5 linked regions of the Bombyx mori genome follow. The protein of the gene in region 1 binds, or shares a complex with, the protein of each later gene. Links are inferred from orthologs where the notes say so. Each region holds a gene or a part of one and is shown on either strand. Other genes may lie near its edges. The genes, in order: stress-activated map kinase-interacting protein 1, TOR1, rapamycin-insensitive companion of mTOR, rptor and target of rapamycin complex subunit lst8.

Region 1 (4,020 bases):
AGGCTTCATATTTCACATCTCTTTTTTAAGCATAATACATATTATTCCTATTCAATCACAACATCCCTTTCAAACAGCTCGTAACTACTTATTGTTTATGCTACCAGTACTACTTCTGGTACTATCTCATGGTGAGCAACAGCATCTACAGTGTGGTGTATATTTGTTATTATATATTTTACATAATATTATTTAAAAGTTAATAAAACAGATTAATATGTTGTAATTGCACATAATCTTCAGAATTTTTCATCGAATATTACACGACACACTCATCTAGTACTACATGCGGAAGAAACGATTTGAATGGTACCTATATTCTTTAATTGGGTTGAAACGTTGACCCATATTAAATATCGTAAAATCTATCCATTAATGACTCAAATTTTATAGAATTGTTGCAATTTGGACAGCTTAAAGCCTATGTAGTTAGGTCACAACATATACAAATAATTTACTTACCACAATTTGTCTACCTAAATAAAATGTTTTAGTTATTATAATTCAATTTGCCGTAAATGTGCACAAATTTAACCAAAATTAATATTTAATAATCCTATATTTAAATCCAGATAAATGTAACTCGTTAATAAAGTTTATTGAATGAATGTGTTTAAAATAAAGAGCTTTTTTCTGTTGTTGTTTTTAATGTTTTTATTACATAGGTCATAGATTATACACTTATGACATAGGTACCTAGTAGGTAGGTGTTGTTTCATTTGTGCAGATAAATAGGCAAAGAAATACAAAAATAGACAGACAATATTTTGGAAGAAAACAGGTGACCAAACATTGCGGCGAAGGTTATTCTGACTAACCGAAATGCATTACTGCTTCACCGCAGAAGCAGGCAGGGTGCTAGTGCCAGCCCGCGTGAACTCACAAGACACTACCTAGATTAGAAAATTTTGCAGTAGGCAACGACTTGGCTGTATCTTTATTATTCCATATCGAATAGTAAACGTTCGTCAGCGTCAATAACCACTAACCATCGGAAGGGCAGTATGCACGTCTGCCTACAACATCAACAAAAAATAATGATAAAGTACTTCTATAAAGTATTTTATATAATAAAAATAAATTAAATAAAAAAATGATAGTGAGAGTGACATATTAATTTACATTAGAGTGGGCAAAGCAAAAAGTCATTTATGTCCATATTATGCTACATGGCCTGTAAGGTCTTGTAGCCCTTGACCGAAAATGAAATGAAAAAAATCTGTTTAAATCAAAATTCAAAACATCAAACATAACACTTCAAAATTTTGCAAAACATGTTTTGGCCGTGGCGCATGATGCGTTATTATTATATATTTCATTAAGAGGATATGAATCTTATTTAAGAAAAAATGGCCACATACGACAACAAAATTTGGCTGTTGAAAAACATTAGAGATGCCTTCATAGCTACTGACGACACAGGCCTATGTGAAATTGTTATGGCAGGTGAAGATTTTTCTAAGATCTTCCAGATTAAGGGTTTAGAAGAAAAAAAAAGAATAAAAGAAGCTCGAGCGCTTCAGCCTGGAACTAGTAAAATAAGGGAAGGTGGAGACTCTTGTGAAGATTTCGAAAGAGAAATTATCACTCAATTTGAACCATATCCTGATATTGATGAAAGTGAAGATGAAGATCCCTTAGGTAGTAGCTATGTTCGATATGAAGAGTTTGGAGGTTACAGGTACGTCCAACATTAAGAACTGTATAGTTGAGATTTATTTTATTTTATTGTATAATGTTGTCTTGCAGGTTTCAAATGTCGTTCATCTAATTCATTAAAACGACGAAGCTCAAATCAGATTCAATTATAAAAGTCTGTCTATTAATCATAAGATACTATTTTCCTTTTTTTTCTCTTGTTTCTTAATTGTTGTCATAGCTACCTGCTAGTAGAGAACAAACCACGATCTCGATACAATCAAGACTTCAATTGTGTTTCACCAGTCAGGTGGACAGTGGGAAAATTAAAACTATATTTTTTGTTAAATTTATTTAAAATTAAAATTTTTACATTACTTTTTTTTACACACAATTTTTACATACAAAACATTAAAAAAGAAAGCTAAAACCATCCATGTCTGAAAATTTCACCAAAAAAATGTATGTTCTAGGCAGAGATCAAACACATCACAATGGTTAGACAAAAAGGAGCAGGCATTAAAAAAGGCAGCCAAAATTAAAGTAATTAAGTGGGAAGATTCATCACCACTGAGCAAGGAGCAATGTATGGAGTTATTCCCTACAGTCGAAGTTAAACCTCCAGAAAAACAAAAGTCATTATTGGCTCAGCAGCTAGAGAACTGCCCAGATCTACCTCATCGTCAGTATCTGGAGTATGGAAAGTTTGATGGCACAGCACAACTAGGATTACAAACAAAATGCTTTAAGATCTTTATGACGATGCTCTCGGAAAAACATCAAAATTATCCATTAGTTGTGTGTGTGATTGCTAGTGCCAAGATCAAAGATTTGATTGGTTTTACATGCTATAAATACAGGTGATGTTGCAAATAATTTCTAATTTTTCTTTATGTGTAGGGTGAATGAGCTTTCGGTCATTGTGTGGTTGTATATTGTTACGGTCTGGGGTTCAGGATAAATAAAAGCTCCACCAAAGTACAACTTAAAACTGTATTTAACACTTAGAACATTCTCAGAACACTTTACAACTCGTAATTCACTTTTTTCATTGCCAGCTATGTGTTTCCGCTATTTGATAATTGATAGCATTGTACTTCTTGGGTGTTCTCGATTTTACAAGTTCTTTTGATATTCGTTGCTTCTATTGGACAACAGATGGCGTTGCTCTTACCGGCGTAACAATATGAATGACACCAGCCTACGTGATATATGAGCATTAGCTATCCTTCATACCAGGACACATGACTTACACTTTTTAATGTTTATTTTTCATTACAGCATTGAACATCCTGAAATTAGTCTTGGCTCTGTGCATGAATATGGACTTTGTATAGCGGAAGATGATGGAGAAGTTGACTGGGCGTTCCCATGCCTCGATGCCAACGAACCATGCTCAAAGTTTGGCTTCACATGTTTAGGACTTATTGAGTTAAAAAACAAGAAATCATTTAACAGTCCTCCAATCCCAATGCCCGATGACGGTCATGTGTTTCATTTATTTCCCAAAATGACCGACTCTGGACAAAGTCACAATAATCCATCTAGACACAATACAGGTGGAAGTCAAACTTCAGAAGCTGTTATAAGTGCATTAAGGGCTGTTAATGAAGGTTAGCATATTGTTCTTTTATTTTGTTAAAATTGATTAATCTTTCAATAAACTTCTTACAGTTACAGAAAAAACTACAGTTTGATAGATAAGACCATACATAAACTTTAAAAAGTTAAGTATGATTACTTTTTTTTTATTACTTAAATGGTTGAACGAGCTCACAGCCCACCTAGTGTTAAGTGGTTACTGAAGCCCATAGACATCTACAACGTAAATGCGCCACCCACCTTGAGATATAAGTTCGTAGGTCTCAGTATAGTTATTAAGTAAAATGAATGGAACTAAATTTTCAGAGAAAAAAAGCAGTGAAGATGCAAACCTAGAAAAGATTCAGTGTCATATAATGGCCACAGAAGCACCACAGTATAAATCATATAAAGTGCAATTATTAAGGAAAGTACGAACTAACACTTCTGTACAACTTGGCATCTCATTAGATAGAATAGAAATTGAACCTTTAGTTACTCATAAACATGTATTTTGGGTAAGTAGCAGCTATGATACTTGAGTATATTTCTTTGTTTTGATGAGCCATAAACTTAATAGAAAGTATACTATTGCAACTGTAAAAACTAAAGGGTTTAATTAAAGGAATGTAGGATGAAACCAAAATTGCCATTGATGGTATTGAGGCGGGTAGCCATCATACAACGCAAGATAATTGACAGATGCCTGAATCTCGCTTACGACATTTTCAAGATAAGCTTGCATATATATATATATTTTTTTTTTTTATTGCCCTTTTATGCTGGCGAGCATACGGCCCA
Region 2 (3,515 bases), on another chromosome or scaffold:
ATCTCTGGAAACGCACTGTGGATGAACGCAGTGGCTCCAGGTAGTACGGATGAACTCTACTCCGGTGGCGGGCGGTTCGATGGTATCGTTTCGAACAATTCCTCAGAGCACTCCCGAACCTCACCTTATGCTTCAGCATCAACTTCTGGTAATCCGAGGCCATCCTCAACATGATCTGCTGTTCCGTGTTCAGCGCCGTTTTGTTCGTCTTTTTATCGCGAAATTCGCTGATTAGATTGTAGAGAGTGTCGCAGTGCGGGACCCAGCCGATGAGTCCGGAGTTGGGGGAGAGCGGTATGACCGCGTATCTCTGTATGGCGAGGTCGTGTCGGTACGTGTCGGCGTCGGCCCGCAGCAGAGCGTTGACCAATCCGAAGAGCTGCATCACGCGCTCGTCCTGCCGCAGGTCCTCGTGGCCCTTCAGCAGGAACATGTACTGTTTGCCGTCAGAGCCCTGTATGGTCAGACGTCTCGGACGCTGCTTCGACTTGATTACCTGACACAAAAGAATAAGGTTCAAGCAAATTTTAATACGCTTTTATTACCTTCAGACGTGTGTATGTTTGTAACGGAATCTTTGAACATGATTTTGACCCCCTTCAAAACGTCCGATTAACTCGAAATTTGGTATACTTAATAAAAAAATTGAAAAAATTGAAATTCAGCTAAAAAATTAAAAATAAATAATAATTTAAAAAAAAACCAACAAAATACGCTTTTATAGATAATCCAACTAAAAAATAGAAAATAAACTTGAATAAAAAATAGTGTAGAAAAAAATGATTTTATTGTATTATAAAAAAAGGGTATATTTAAAAACACATTTAGTTTGACTTTCGTAAGTTCAAGAACACGGAAACTACCAAGTCTTTGAAACGTAGGAAATGTTTTTTTATTTATTGCTTAGATGGACGTGTGTGAGGCTTAAACAACGAAAGGAAGATCTTCCACCAAGCAGGTGATATTGTTCGGTAGACCGACGGTCCAAATGTTGTTGTTCGGAACTTGTATATTATTATATTCAAGCTTCTTGTCGTAAGCGAGATTCAGGCATCGGTCAAATATCTTGTATTGTATGATGGCTACCCGCCACAGACGGATGGATGAGCTCACAGCCCACCTGGCGTTAAGTGGTTACTGGAGCCCATAGACGTCTACAATGTAAATGCAAACACCCACCATGAGATAAGAGTTCAAAGGTCTCAGTATAGTTACAACGGCTGCCCCACCCTTCAAACCGAAACGCATTACTGCTTCACGGCAGAAATAGGCAGGGTGGTGGTTGGTACCGAGTAGGTACTCGTGTGAGCTCCCGTGATATAACAATATAGAAGTAAGATCAAATAGACAATAAAATATTTATTATAAAAAAAAAGAACACAATTCCTAACCTAAAAGTACATGTTATTATCCATAATATCAAATTATGTTCTGATAATTATTACCTGTCATTGCTAATTGAATATTAATTTGTCAATCACAAAATTGTGCAATCGAATCTGAATATGAAGAGAATTTAAAATGCTATAACGCCCTAATTAAGTTATCACAATTCAATAGAACGTCAAAGCTTAAAGCTCTTCTAAAATTACTATTTAGTTGATGGTTAACGATACATATATTTACGCAAAATCTTAATCAAAAAATTTTTAAAATTCGAAATTCTTGCAAAGTAACTTAGAGAGAGAGAGAGAATACTCTTTATTGCACACCAAAACACAATTTACATTAAAAAAGCAGATACATTTGTACAATAGGCGGTCTTATCGCTAAAAGCGATCTCTTGCAGACAACCGTTTAATTTACAGAAATTCTGGAAAATATAAAAATATAGCAGGTATGTTGCGGTGTACCATAGACAATATATACATACAATTAACAGATATATACCGTTTACATAATATGTATTATATTATAATATAATATATACCAATATACATACTTAGACAATCTGAAATGAAAAACTAACTCACTTTTCGCCTGCGCTATAGTTTTTTAGGCGAAACGGCTATCAGTGTTGATGATACTAATTCGCAACTAAATTCGTACCTGCAAATTGCTGTGTATGTACGAGATGTTAATTATTTTCTGATTAGGCACGTACGAGCCCGGGACGGCCAGCTCCAGGTCCTTGCACGAATGCAAACGTTTGCTGACGTACTGCAGCTCCAGTGACGTCAGCGACCGGAACTGGGCTTGGATGCGCCGCACCACGTGGTAGTACAGATCCCACGCTTCGTTCAGGTACCTCTCTTCGTTGCTCTCCTGTATTAATAAATAATACTTAATATATAAACTCAATGTTGAAAAAAAAATGGCGGATAGAAAGCGATTGCATGCAGCAGAGATGCTAATGTTGCGATGCATGTTTTTTTTTTATGATTGAAGTATTACTGGTGGCCCGGAGGCCGTTCCAGTTTCGCCAGGACAGGTGGGCGACCAAAGGCTCAGCCAGAAGGGGTGGCATTTGCTAACAGCCACCCGAGCGCCTCCGAAGGAGACCTAGGAACTCAAGAGCAATTGCTTCGCGAATGAATCTACTACCGGATCGGAATCGCGACCCGCTGAGAAGATCCGGCGAGAAACTCAGCGGGCTGATGCATGGGTTAGGTTGCACGTCGACCTCTTTGTCGAGTTCGGCGAGTACGGTTACCGGGGTTCCTCAGCCTGCTCTTAGTGTTAGAGCTGAAGGTACCTAATGCAAGAGTTATTGGATCTGACGTGTCTAGGGCGACGACGGTGACTTGCTCCTGCGTGATTAGGATTCGGGGAGCGAGGGATGTGTAGTAACGAGAATGGATAGAATACAGAATGAATATATTAGAGGAAGTCTGAAAGTGGCCCCTGTGACAGAGAAGTTGAAAAGTGCGCGTTTGGGATGGGTATGGACATGTGATGAGAGAGTGTTAACTATGAATGTGGAAGGATATAGAGGAAGAGGTAGACCTAAGAAGAAATGGATGATCCATTTTTTCTCACATATATGTGTAAGAGGGGAGCGAGCGAAGAAATGGTATATGATAGAAGAGTATGGAAGGAGAAAACATGTTACGTCGACCCCAGGTGACTGGGAGAATGGTAGACAAATGATGATGATGATATCAACTTGAATCTTTCAAGTACTTTTCATCATTGAAGGATTACTGGTGGCCCCGATGCTTTTCCAGTTACACCAGAGAGAGAGGTAGCAAAGATATTGGTTAAATAATACATTATAATGTTTAAACCAGGGTTATGAGACCTTATGCCTGTAACAAGTTTACCTTGTATAACTCGCACCAGCGCCGCGCCTCCTGTAGATCGCGTCCATACATCTGCAGGAATGAGACTTCCTTCAACGTCTCCGGAGGGGTATCCAGCATTGCGTGCATTTTGTCCAAAGTTTTAAACATTCTCTTATAATCTTTCTCGCTGAAACAAAACCTGAAATCATCGCCGGAGATTAGTTGTTCAATATTTGGTATATTTATCTAAAATTATCTGTACCCAACAAACCTTGACGCTTCATCGAGTGC
Region 3 (3,515 bases), on another chromosome or scaffold:
AGGTGTCTATGTAAAAGAAAAAAATTTTTTTAGAACCTTTCCCTTTTCATTCATAGCCAGACTATTATCACGCAGGAACCTTCGTCTTGACAAATTATCAGCTAAAGTTATTAGCGCATAACATGAATGCTAATGTTCACCGTCTTACAAATTGTGGATATCAAAAAGTAACACTGCTGGTCGAGAAGCTAAGTAATGTTCTTACTGGCGGTACTTTACTGGTGGTAGGACCTCTTGTGAGTCCGCACGGGTAGGTGCTACCACCCTGCCTATTTCTGTCGTGAAGCAGTAATGCGTTTCAGTTAGAAGGGCAGGGCTGCCGTTGTAACTATAGCGAGACCTTACAGCTTATATCTCAAGGTGGGTGGCGCATTTACGTTGTAAATGTTTATGGACTCCAGTAACCACTTAACACCAGGTGGGCAGTGAGCTCGTCCACTCATCTAAGCAATAAAAATAAAATAAAATAAAAAATGTGTGTGTTCATGTCACACACGGTAGAAGTGAAACTTATAAATAAGATATAGATATACTGACTATCCCACTACACAGAAGCATACATATGGACAATGTTTAGTATACGATAGTGGGGATGCTACGAAGAGAAAGAGAACAACAAAGCAGAGACCGAGAATGTCTAATGTGTTCTATCGCATTCTCTTGCCGGCTGAATCCTATTCATTTGTGTTTGTGTCTATGGACTTATTTTTTCGTTTCATGGAGTTTGAAAGCACAACGATCTAAAGAAGTTTCACTTCAAAAATAATAATTTATGTCTGTCAGGCGTTGTCAACCCGGAGCTGTGGGTGTGGTGTGGCGGCGCCAGTGCCGTGTCCCGCCAGCTGGCCGAATGCGCGACCCCGCGACAAGCGGAGGCGTTGTGCGGTGCTCTCCTGCACGTGTTAGACCGACCGGGCCCGCGACGTGCCGCCCGCCTCACCACAGCCTGTCTGACGCATCTAGCTGCACCGTACTGTGACTTCCACTTCCGTTCAGCGCCTACAGATTCCACCAGGTTTTTATTATAAGCTTCTTATAAAAATGGATATTAGCCGTTCACTTTCCAGACAAATCAAAACAATGGTGCAAATTAAAGCTAATAATTGTTTTTTTTTTCCTACCTAAACTGAGACTAGCCTTGAGAGGCTATTTCAGCATAACCTTAACTATTAGTGAGCTCACGGGGCTCAAACTTGACGACGTTGCTAACACAAACCCTAGCAAGAGCCGTGCTTCGCAGAATCTACCACCGGATCGGAAACGCGACCCACTGAGAAGATCGGGCGAGAAACTCAGTGGGCTGTTTGTAGGTCAAATTACTTGTAGAGCCCTTCGTCGCAACCGACGGGTATGAATAATTTAAAGTTTTCTTTGGAAAATAAAATCTCTTAGTCTAGTCTCTTAACTAATGCAACCTAAAAAAATAATCGCAGTATTTTTTTTTAAATCCTTTAGTAAAGAATAATTAAAGCAATAGCTAAAAAAATCAATTACTGACTGTGGATGATATAGCTAGGAATAATAGGATAGGCCATGTTGTAAATCACTGGGTATTTAGCATCAGTGTTCGGCTCAAACATAGTTGGCACTACAATTGAAACCTAAAATACTTATTTCTTTATAGGGATGAGAGAGAGATGCGGTTCACCTGCAGTAGATTGGCGTTGCTATGCGTTTTAAGGAGTTGGCCAGGGTTGTTACATTTTTGTCACCCATCGAGTGCTGGGGGATTACGATCACTTGTTGCTGCTCTATATTTACCTCGTCTTGAAGTTCGGGTAAGTGCCAGTTTTAATTGTAAATCAAATTAATTGCTTAATGATTTTGAAATGGTCGTGGCTTAAAGGATAAGTCGATTGATGCACTCAGATGGAACGATACTACTATGTCGGTGTTCTAATACCGCATACAGGTGTCAATTTTTTAACATATGTTCATGTTCGTTGTGAACCCGCATGGGTAGTGTATTTCTGCCTGTTATGATGTCTTCGTGTTGCGGTAACCATTTGACATCATGTGGGCCGTGAGCTCATTCACTAGTCTATGCAATATAATATATTATGTATTTATGGTAAACCATAAAAATGGTTTAAGTACACAGTTGATTGGTTTTGAATAAGGGAATTAATTGTATGGTTCATAGTTAACATTTATTGTTTGTATGTGTGTTATATTACAGAAAGCAATATTGGATTTGCTATACGAATTAGTAGGGCTACCACAACCTGAATGGACAGATGAGATCTCAGTCGCGCTGGACGCTGTGGACCCTTCAGACTTTCAGGTTAATTTTAACATAATGCTGTTGGTTTTATCAAAGTTTCATCTAACTTACACGAAATTTATATTTGTAATGTCTCTAGGATACGTGGCGGCTTAACGAAGGATTTGTTGCCGCGGAAGGCATCGCAATACTACCTCATCTCGCAGCTACGGGACCCGATATTACGGAAAACCACTTAGCTCTATTACTTCAATGTTTCCTAGAGGTACAACCCTATTCGCGTTATACAATTTTTTTTTTAATGTTTACAGCAGTATTATAGTATACAATTAAATTCTAGGTCGGTCTACTGGACGGGTTAGCTGAAGTGATCGTGACGAGCGACACTTTTATATCGGTGCGCGCTACGGTTCTACTCGGCCAGCTGCTGCATTTAGTACACTTGTTCCTGCCTCCTCCGATATGTAACATCACGCCCGCCTTACCCGTCCTAATGTCTCAGGCGTCTAACGGAAAGCCTCAAGCCCTGGCAGCGGTGGCCGCCTTGCGGAAACTGCACGCGATGCTCGAAGCGAGACCCGCCAGCAGCAGCCTTTTCCTCGACCACATCATTCAGTACTGCAGCGGAGCGTTCAAGGAAAAGAACGAAGACGCCGCCAAGAGTCGGAAAGAGAAGGACAACGCCAACATAAGACCGAGACAGGAGATCGGCATTCACAAAAACGACAGCATAGAACTGCTGAACGAATCGGACAACGAGAACGAAACGAAACAAAGGCACAGCGTCGGCTCCCGAAATGACGTCACCAACAGAAACATCAGTGCGCTCGTTAAAAGTAAAAGCGTAACTTCGCGAACTAGCGCCGCCGTGAGCAAGGTCGCCAAGTCGGCCAAGTTTTTCAATTTGTTCGAGCGAGACAGCGACAGTTTGATCCGGTCCACCTTGGTCATGCAGAACAAAGACGGAAATACTTGGAATTGGGAAATCATAAGAACTATTTTAAAGGTAACGCTCGAAGTTTTTGAAGTGAAACTTCTTTAGGCGCGTTGAGAGTATAATTTAACTCGCGACAGTTTCGTTTAGGAATAGCCAGAGTAAGAAAATAGACAGCGTTTGGCGAACCACTCAACCGTGGAGAGAGGGAAATAAAAAAGCGAGCTAGGTCGTTTCTCTTGTACATAGCATTTCTCTTACAGGCGAATTTTTGTTAAAGGATGAAAAATGAAGAAAAGCACATTACTATTGTACATTCCGCAAAAGAAGTTTCACTTCTTTCACGCGCACCATTTT
Region 4 (3,515 bases), on another chromosome or scaffold:
CAGCACAAGAACTACTCATAGTATAGTATTAGAACGAATCTAGCGCCTGGGACACAGTACATTCAACATTGTCCCGTATACTACAAAACGCAACTTATTTACCTGTAACGTCATTTGGGGCCAAATGCAGTATCGTAATTTGGGGTAGTGTATTGTGGGGTATTGTAATTTGTAAGTGAGTTGGGGCAGCCGTTGTAACTATACTAAGACTAGAACTTATATCTTAAGATGTGTAGGCGCATTTACGTTGTAGATATCTATGGGCTCCAGTAACCAGTAAAAAAAAAGCGCTTATTAACTGACTCAGTGACGTAGTAGCTAATTAAGCCGAAAACCTTTATTATTTAAAACTCCTTAGGTTTTAAAAAGGGTTTTTCTTCAGTTTCATGTAGTGAAGTCAGTTATTCAATAAAAAGAGAGCTCAGTTTGGATAGTTCATTAATACAGTTTAATTTTGGTTATTAAATTTAAAAGAGATTAAGGGCTTTAAATGTTCTTTTCTTATTATATTACAGAGAACACAATTAAGTATTTTATTGTTTATTCATCCTGAAGTATAGTCCCCGGCACGTAACTTGGCAAGAGTCGTTAGATGCGCAGAAGTCATTTTTTAGGTCTCTTTGGTTGTCAAGCGGGACGCGGGGAAAGACGTAGCACCGTTCCGAGCGCGCGATTGGTGCGTCAGTCGACCCTCCCCTCCCGCACCGCGTCCGCGTTCCGTTCGCTCCCGGCTACACATTTGCCTACTAAGTTGTAGGATACCCTTTTTTTATATATTTTTTTTTGTTTGGAGTTGTTATTATTGTTTAAATTTAGTTTTTGTTACGAGTGTTATTGTTTTAAATTTGTTTGCAATGCCAGGACCAAATACCAATTACCATATAGTAGATTCAGTCACTGAGCGTTTTATTATTTACGCCAGTGACGACAGCGACTCTTCGTTATGTCGACGATGAGGAGCCAACTCCTTCCACCAGCTCAGGTGCTACAATAAATTTAATCCAAGGGGTAGCAATATTAGAAAATGATAGTGACGACGGCGACACATAATTTTTAATATTAAGTATATTACTAACAATTAAAATTTAATTATATAGTAACTTTTAATTGTATTTTATTTATAACACCTAATACACTTCACGAATTCCTCTCTTTTCTTTAACGTTCTTCAAAACACACAGGCTTAAAAATAAGTTATGGCAAATAAACAATAAAATAAAATTAAATTAAATTATATGCGGGCAATAAAAATGACCATTTTTTTGTTGCAATGTGCACTATGCGCGACATTACCCCCACTACACCAAAACCTTGCCAACTTACGTGCCGCTTACTATACCTACTCCATATTATTATATATATTTAAAGGCACGATATATAATCTATGTCAGTCTCTGATACGCTGACCAAAGGGACTTTTTGGCGGGAACGCGAGGAGTGAAGTTGTGTGATTTGTTGTGACAAAATAATTTGTCTATTTAGTGTTTCCTCGGGTTTAAATGTGTAATAATGGTAGTTTATTAACTGTTTAATATCTGTGAAAGTGCACAAATGTGGGAAAATGAAACAAAGCCGCTGGACGTAACTCCTCGGGATCCTCTAAAAAGTCCACTGAAAAAATCTTAGTAAATGACCACCATTTTACTGAGATTATATTTCATCTCAATTCATTTCATTTAATTTCATCCCAGTTGATTAGTGTCTCAAATTAATTATCTTCATTTTATTTCACTCCATAATATCATTTTTCATAAAAATATGAATAATATAAATGAAAATAAGACATGACTTCAAGGTCTCAGTTACCAGGTCATAAAATCTCTTAAAAAAAAATCCTGACCAAAGGGAATCCTAATCTGTGACCGTATGACCGGGCGTGATTTGTTCGCAGTAACTTTACCGCCGCAGCAATCTTTTCGTTACAAATGCAATGTAATCACAATCTATCCCAGGTATAGCTCAACTGGTCTCTGATCAGTTCTCCTCGAACGAAGACAAACTAGCGACGAACAAAAACAAGCAACAGGCCGACCCCAACTGTAAGTGGCACTTTAATCAACTCATCTCTATATCAACAGTCAATATTTTAAATATTAATTTGAGGAACAGCGGATGTATTAATGGCACATTTGCTCTATAGAAAGGGTGATCCTACGGTCCAATGAGCGAGTCCGATCGAACCCTTTCGTCAGGCGCTAATTCACGTCTAGTTAATAAAAGTAATGGTCTCATTTGTTGATCTATAATTTTTATTTGTTAAAGATATATATTTCTAAATTCTAATGAGAATTATTTTTAAAAAAAAAAATGGTTTTGACGTGACAACGTCTTATAATTCGATGGAGCCGGCTGCCCGCACGAAAAAACATGACTCATGCGGCGTTACCTCGCTCTGAGGCGTTCCATTTAAGGCTTGAAGTGCAAACGAGAGCGCGCAACGAGCGACAAAGAGGCACAATCGGCCTCCGCGTTCGGCAGCGTTCGACATCTGTCTCTCTCCTACTTGAGTGAGCGATGCATCCGTGTGGACAGCTGCTATACAATAATACATTTACATGTTGTCGTCAAGTATGAAGTTCAGTGAAAAGTGAATGTGGTGTCAATTGTTTATAGCAACGATAATTGCGAGAATTGAAAAATGAAACCATTCCATCAGTATTTTCTTATGACGTTGTCACGTTCAACATCTTTTAGAACTGATTTAATAGATAAATGAACTGTAGGACTCAATTTAAAAGGTGTTCATTTCCTACACTCAATTACAATGTGTTGGGGGGTACGTGTGCGCAGTGGGCGGCGGCACGGTGGTACGCTGGGTGGCGGCGCGGCGCTGGGTGGCGGCGGGCGGGCGCGCGCGCGGCGTGCGGCTGTGGGACGCGCGGCGCGAGCTGCGGGTGGGCGACCTGGCCGCGCCCGGGGACGCCGCCCTCACCGCGCTGGGGGCCGCGCGCCCCGACGTGCTGGCCGCCGGCTTCCAGGACGGCGCCGTGCGGCTGTGGGACCAGCGCACCCTGGCGCCCACGCACGACCTGCGCCGCCACGCCGCGCCCGTGCTGGCCGCCGCGCACTCGCTGCGCGCCGACCTGCTCGTCACCGGCTGGTACGTACTCTTGTGTGTATAGGCATCGTATATTGTCGCCTCAACAACACTCGTCCCTTATTGAGTTACTCACGCACGTGTAGGGAGCTGAATGTAGTTTCGATTTACTTATCTATATTGACATCTACCGGCAGGCGCAACCGCTTGAAACGCGCTCGACTTTGTGCAGAGTATAGGCAAAATTATAATTTGAGTAATTACTGGTGCTAGGACCTCTTGTGAGTCCGCACGGGTAGGTACCACCACTTTACCTATTTCTGTCGTGAAGCAGAAACAATTTTCGGTTTAAAGTGCGGGGCAGTCATTGTAACTTTACTGATACTTTAGAACTTATATCTCAAGTTGGGTGGTGCATTTACATTGCAGATGTCTATGGACTCCAGTAACCACTTAACACCAGGTGGACTGTAAGCTC
Region 5 (4,286 bases), on another chromosome or scaffold:
GTGGAAAAGGTAGGGAAACCAGTTTTATTTAGGAATCAATTGGAAGGTTCGAAATTTGGAAAGGATATGTACGTAATAGGATAATAATATATAATAATGCCTAAGAGTTCATAATATATAGTGATTGGGTATAAATAAAAAGAATATTATATTTTAAAACTGTTTACATTTTAATATTATTAATAATGTAGGGATTGATGTGGGAAGAGGAACTCGGAGGTTTATCAGGGAATTTATGAATGAGGAACAGTCACGTAGGAGGCATCCAAAGAAAATGTGATTCAAGTCAGGTGAATGAAGTTAGCCCCTCAAAAAATTTTTTTTTCCTATTTTATACTTATTTTCTATTAATTCATTTGTTCATGATTGTTCACTGTTAATAATTGTTTGTTCTGCATTTATTTATTTAAAAAAAAATATTTAAAAATATACCTACCAGTTAGCCCCTCTAATGCAATTTTTTATATTTTTTCATCCTTAATGACTCGTAAATATTCATTTTCGATTGTTCTTATATAAAACACGTTTGTCCTCTTTCGAAATTACTCGTTTTTTGTTTAATTTACTATTTTTATTAGTTGAATAAATGTATGCAAAATATGTGTACTGCGCATGCGTCAACTATAATGCCTAAACTTTCTACGCGGTTTTAATCGTGAAAAAAAAACAAATATAAATCCTGAAGGAGCAATTAATTGGTATACAGTTTAATTAAAAAAATTAAAAAAGAAATAAATGAAATAATGTGTATTGGCGTTAAGTTAGACCAAATACATTTTTTCCATCCTCCTACTTATCGTTATGAAGGTATAAAAAAGATAGGGAGTTCACATAGGTAATATAAACAAATAAGTAAATATGTTCATTATTTATCTTTCAAGAGATAATATAGGTATACATTATAATAACTTTTTTACACAGTCGAAATTATATTCCTAACATTAGTAAAATAACATTTTAATACGATAGGTAAGAGGATGGAAAAAATGTATTTGGTCTAACTTAACGCCAATGCACATTATTTCATTTATTTATTTTTTAATTTTTTTAATTAAACTGTATACCAATTAATTGCTCCTTCAGGATTTATATTTGTTTTTTTTTTACGATTAAAACCGCGTGGAAAGTTTAGGCATTATAGTTGACGCATGCGCAGTACACATATTTTGCATACATTTATTCAACTAATAAAAATAGTAAATTAAACAAAAAACGAGTAATTTCGAAAGAGGACAAACGTGTTTTATATAAGAACAATCGAAAATGAATATTTACGAGTCATTAAGGATGAAAAAATATAAAAAATTGCATTAGAGGGGCTAACTTGTAGGTATATTTTTAAATATTTTTTTTAAATAAATAAATGCAGAACAAACAATTATTAACAGTGAACAATCATGAACAAATGATGAACAAACGAATTAATAGAAAATAAGTATAAAATAGGAAAAAAAAATTTTTTTGAGTGGCTAACTTCATTCAACTTTGAATTACCTGTGCTGTGTTGTTTTGGTTATGTTTTGACTTTATGAGATGCATTAGTTAGAATTTACAGTAATATTAAAAGCGCCCCGATAATTCGGTTCAAGTATAACGTAGATTATATCACATCATACAAGATTTATGTTGCTCGGAAAGTTCGAAATTAAAAATTAAAATCCGAAATTTCAAAATTACCTGGCAGTTGGAAATAAAAAAATGTGCTTTTAAGAAATAAATATGCCAATTGCTTAAACAATAAGTTTCATAAAATGGCTGGTGATACCACTGCTTCTCTTGGAGGATCGCAGGTGGCTTTAGTAACAGGAGGCTACGATCATACTATCAAGCTATGGCAGGCACACAGTGGTGTTTGTTTACGAACAATGCAGCATCCAGATTCGGTACTTCATATTTTAATGTTTCGGTTATTGATCTTCTATAAATGACCAAAATGACTCAATTCATTTCCAGATAACTCATTCAAATCGCTCCGTAAATTTGCATGATTATTTTAAATTTTCATAAAAAATTGATTTGGAAATTTCGCTTTGAATAATAACGAGGGCTGAAAGGCTATTTGAATTAAGCGATATTTCGATTAATACGCGACATTTATCTTTGTAATTAAAGGTCCATTTTATTTGGTATTAACTATCACCAATTCAATGTTTTTGATTGAACATCAATTAAGCTTACTGCATCCAAATAGCTGATGGACTTTTTTTATTATGAGAATTTTAAACTTTAAATGGCTCTCCTGTAAAGTTGCAAAAATGTCCAAAAAAAGAGAATTACCTAAACGATTAAAACTGGTCACGACAGTGTCAGATAATTGTGAGCTAAGATTTAATACAAGCAGACCACTTTGTACAAATATAATTCAGATTAACATGCCAGTCATCTTTTGTGAGGTAACTTAAATTAACTTTCGTGATATTTTTACAAACTGATTATATTATGAAAATCAGCTAAAGCTTATTGCATGACGAGTTTTCCTTTCAGCAAGTGAACAGCTTGGAGATCTCACCAACATCGATGGTAGCAGCAGCTGGATTTCAGCATATACGGTTATATGATCTTAGTAGTGCCAATCCAGACCCGGTCACAACTTTTGAGGACATCTCCAAAAACGTATCTCGAGTTGGGTTTCAGGTATTATGCATAAATTCAATTAAAATTTGTTGAAAACAATATATACATGACCTTCAGGTAGATTATTTGTGACCTAGGTGTCACTGACAGTAAACTACAGGAAGTACGTGTCTTTAATATATGTCTCTAAATATTTGCCAGGAATAGAAAAAAAAATATATTTCTTTTCTCAGTTCAAAACTCATTCAGTTGAAACTGGATCTTCAGTGTCCTTTAAATATTTGAGATCTCACTGGCATAGGAATTACTATAAATCTTTGAGATTATAATTATTTCTAGGGCAACAATTTGAAAAACACACAAATTGTGTCGACATGCAGTTTTTAAACAAAAACTGATGTTAAAATCAGTTATTCATTTTCAAACAACTTTTCAAGATTGTTATCTTTTAGAAAAAAAAAAAACTATGTATATTTATGATTGGATATTTAATTTGTGAACACATCTATTACAATAAGACAAGTCATTAATTTTTTTTTTTTTTAAATTGTAACTTTGCAGAAAAATGGCACTTGGATGTACACAGGAGGTGAGGACTGCACAGCCAGGATATGGGATCCCAGGTTAAAGACGCTATGTATTATATCAACCAGTTATTAGGTAACATCATTTGTGTTTTCTAACCTTGGCCAAATGATGTTTGGAGGTTTCTCTGATGCTAGATGACAATGCAGCACCTTATATCATTCGTTATATTCGTGCTTATTATAAAAGATTCACCAACTGATATTTACTGGTGGTATGAAGATATGATTCCTGCTTTAAAGCTGTCAAGTGTAATGCTAATGGTTATGGAATAAAATCAAAATTTAGATCATAGAAGCTAATAACTATTTACACTAGGAGACCATGAGGTTGTCTGCTGATCTCTGAAATTAAACTTTAACTTTTATTGAGTTTAAAAACACAATTTACTGACTGGACCTAGAAAGCTTAGTATAGAAATTTTAAAGCGGCATGTTTCTCATGTAGGGCTGCACCACGTACAAGGTGTCAAAAGATATTCCAAGTTCAAGCTCCGGTGAATGCAGTAATGCTTCATCCTGATCAGTCCCAGATAATGGTTGGAGACCAGAGTGGCATTATACATATATGGGATCTGAAAACGGATCAAAATGAACAACTGGTAACTTTACTATATATATTTTTTTACATCCACTATCAGCTGAGAAGCTATAATACAGTATGTTGTGGTGAGCTACAAAAGTGAAAGGAACACTCTATCTCCGCATCCTATTCAGTAGTGTTCCTGCATAAAAAGCTGATGCCAACATGATATCACCAATATGCTCATAATGGATATATAGAAAGGCTACTGAGGTATTTACTAGAGAATGGCCAGTAGTATTTTCTGTATATTATAACATATTTCTGCTGTCCTTAATAGGTTGATTGATGGTTGGATGTATTATAAACCCACTTGTGTATGGACCACCATCCTACCTTTTTTTTTCCACGAAACAATCATCAGTTTTGAGCATTTATGTTTTATTGATAAGCTCTAGTAATTGATCAATCATTAGCCAAGTGCCTGTCCAACCACATAATTCAATTTAAATAAACCATGTTTATTTCATTTACATGTTACACATAAATATTATACTATTTATCCTTATTTTTGTTAGATACCAGAAGCGGAGGCGTCGATTCAG

What was found.
Region 2: stress-activated map kinase-interacting protein 1 (region 1) and TOR1 share a complex: the UniProt entries of both Homo sapiens proteins name them as parts of the mechanistic target of rapamycin complex. The link is inferred for Bombyx mori from reciprocal best matches to the Homo sapiens genes MAPKAP1 and MTOR.
Region 3: the proteins of stress-activated map kinase-interacting protein 1 (region 1) and rapamycin-insensitive companion of mTOR are in contact, whole or in part, in a cryo-EM structure (PDB 7PE7), measured with the Homo sapiens proteins. The link is inferred for Bombyx mori from reciprocal best matches to the Homo sapiens genes MAPKAP1 and RICTOR. Residues at the interface, in NP_001006618.1 of Homo sapiens: Ala2, Phe3, Leu4, Asp5, Asn6, Pro7, Ile9, Ile10, Leu11, Ala12, His13, Ile14, Arg15, Gln16, Ser17, His18, Thr20, Ser21, Asp22, Asp23, Thr24, Met26, Cys27, Met29, Val30, Leu31, Ile32, Asp35, Val36, Ser84; in NP_689969.2 of Homo sapiens: Arg108, Gln137, Glu140, Thr144, Leu147, Arg148, Arg151, Lys152, Thr155, Arg182, Met183, Arg185, Ala186, Ala189, Cys192, Glu193, Leu196, Leu220, Arg222, Ile223, Glu225, Ala226, Leu227, Thr229, Thr230, His233, Asn236, Arg293, Trp295, Glu844.
Region 4: stress-activated map kinase-interacting protein 1 (region 1) and rptor share a complex: the UniProt entries of both Homo sapiens proteins name them as parts of the mechanistic target of rapamycin complex. The link is inferred for Bombyx mori from reciprocal best matches to the Homo sapiens genes MAPKAP1 and RPTOR.
Region 5: the proteins of stress-activated map kinase-interacting protein 1 (region 1) and target of rapamycin complex subunit lst8 are in contact, whole or in part, in a cryo-EM structure (PDB 7PE8), measured with the Homo sapiens proteins. The link is inferred for Bombyx mori from reciprocal best matches to the Homo sapiens genes MAPKAP1 and MLST8. Residues at the interface, in NP_001006618.1 of Homo sapiens: Lys102, Cys103, Lys104, Asn105, Ile106, Gln107, Trp108, Lys109, Arg111, Asn112, Ser113, Lys121, Leu123, Phe124, Glu125, Lys126, Lys127, Ser128, Leu129, Gly137, Lys138, Gln139, Ser140, Ile141, Leu142, Val144, Arg145, Leu146; in NP_001186102.1 of Homo sapiens: Ala29, His30, Pro77, Ile78, Ile79, Ser80, Tyr81, Asp82, Gly83, Arg98, Arg110, Ile111, Trp112, Gln120, Cys121, Gln122, Arg123, Ile124, Asn139, Gln140, Ala141, Leu157, Lys158, Ile203, Glu206, Ser279, Gly280, Asp281, Gln283, Asp322.

The regions. Positions count from the first base shown.
Region 1 is NC_085121.1:3,857,630-3,861,649, reverse strand, and holds the start of stress-activated map kinase-interacting protein 1, read left to right. Parts: upstream 1-1,211; 5' UTR 1,212-1,349; coding exon 1,350-1,681; intron 1,682-2,111; coding exon 2,112-2,498; intron 2,499-2,617; exon of another isoform or gene 2,618-2,919; coding exon 2,920-3,251; exon of another isoform or gene 3,252-3,546; coding exon 3,547-3,737; exon of another isoform or gene 3,738-4,020. UniProt on the Homo sapiens protein: Component of the mechanistic target of rapamycin complex 2 (mTORC2), which transduces signals from growth factors to pathways involved in proliferation, cytoskeletal organization, lipogenesis and anabolic output.
Region 2 is NC_085109.1:10,799,539-10,803,053, forward strand, and holds part of TOR1 (target of rapamycin), read right to left. Parts: coding exon 3,496-3,515; intron 3,424-3,495; coding exon 3,264-3,423; intron 2,266-3,263; coding exon 2,050-2,265; intron 497-2,049; coding exon 125-496; intron 1-124. UniProt on the Homo sapiens protein: Serine/threonine protein kinase which is a central regulator of cellular metabolism, growth and survival in response to hormones, growth factors, nutrients, energy and stress signals.
Region 3 is NC_085128.1:9,702,752-9,706,266, forward strand, and holds part of rapamycin-insensitive companion of mTOR, read left to right. Parts: intron 1-783; coding exon 784-1,015; intron 1,016-1,624; coding exon 1,625-1,778; intron 1,779-2,179; coding exon 2,180-2,284; intron 2,285-2,363; coding exon 2,364-2,489; intron 2,490-2,564; coding exon 2,565-3,230; intron 3,231-3,515. UniProt on the Homo sapiens protein: Component of the mechanistic target of rapamycin complex 2 (mTORC2), which transduces signals from growth factors to pathways involved in proliferation, cytoskeletal organization, lipogenesis and anabolic output.
Region 4 is NC_085123.1:808,890-812,404, forward strand, and holds part of rptor (regulatory-associated protein of TOR), read left to right. Parts: intron 1-1,952; coding exon 1,953-2,039; intron 2,040-2,790; coding exon 2,791-3,100; intron 3,101-3,515. UniProt on the Homo sapiens protein: Component of the mechanistic target of rapamycin complex 1 (mTORC1), an evolutionarily conserved central nutrient sensor that stimulates anabolic reactions and macromolecule biosynthesis to promote cellular biomass generation and growth.
Region 5 is NC_085114.1:11,954,839-11,959,124, reverse strand, and holds the start of target of rapamycin complex subunit lst8, read left to right. Parts: upstream 1-1,477; 5' UTR 1,478-1,751; coding exon of another isoform or gene 1,752-1,883; 5' UTR 1,884-2,210; coding exon 2,211-2,393; intron 2,394-2,484; coding exon 2,485-2,634; intron 2,635-3,135; coding exon 3,136-3,197; intron 3,198-3,606; coding exon 3,607-3,760; intron 3,761-4,259; coding exon 4,260-4,286.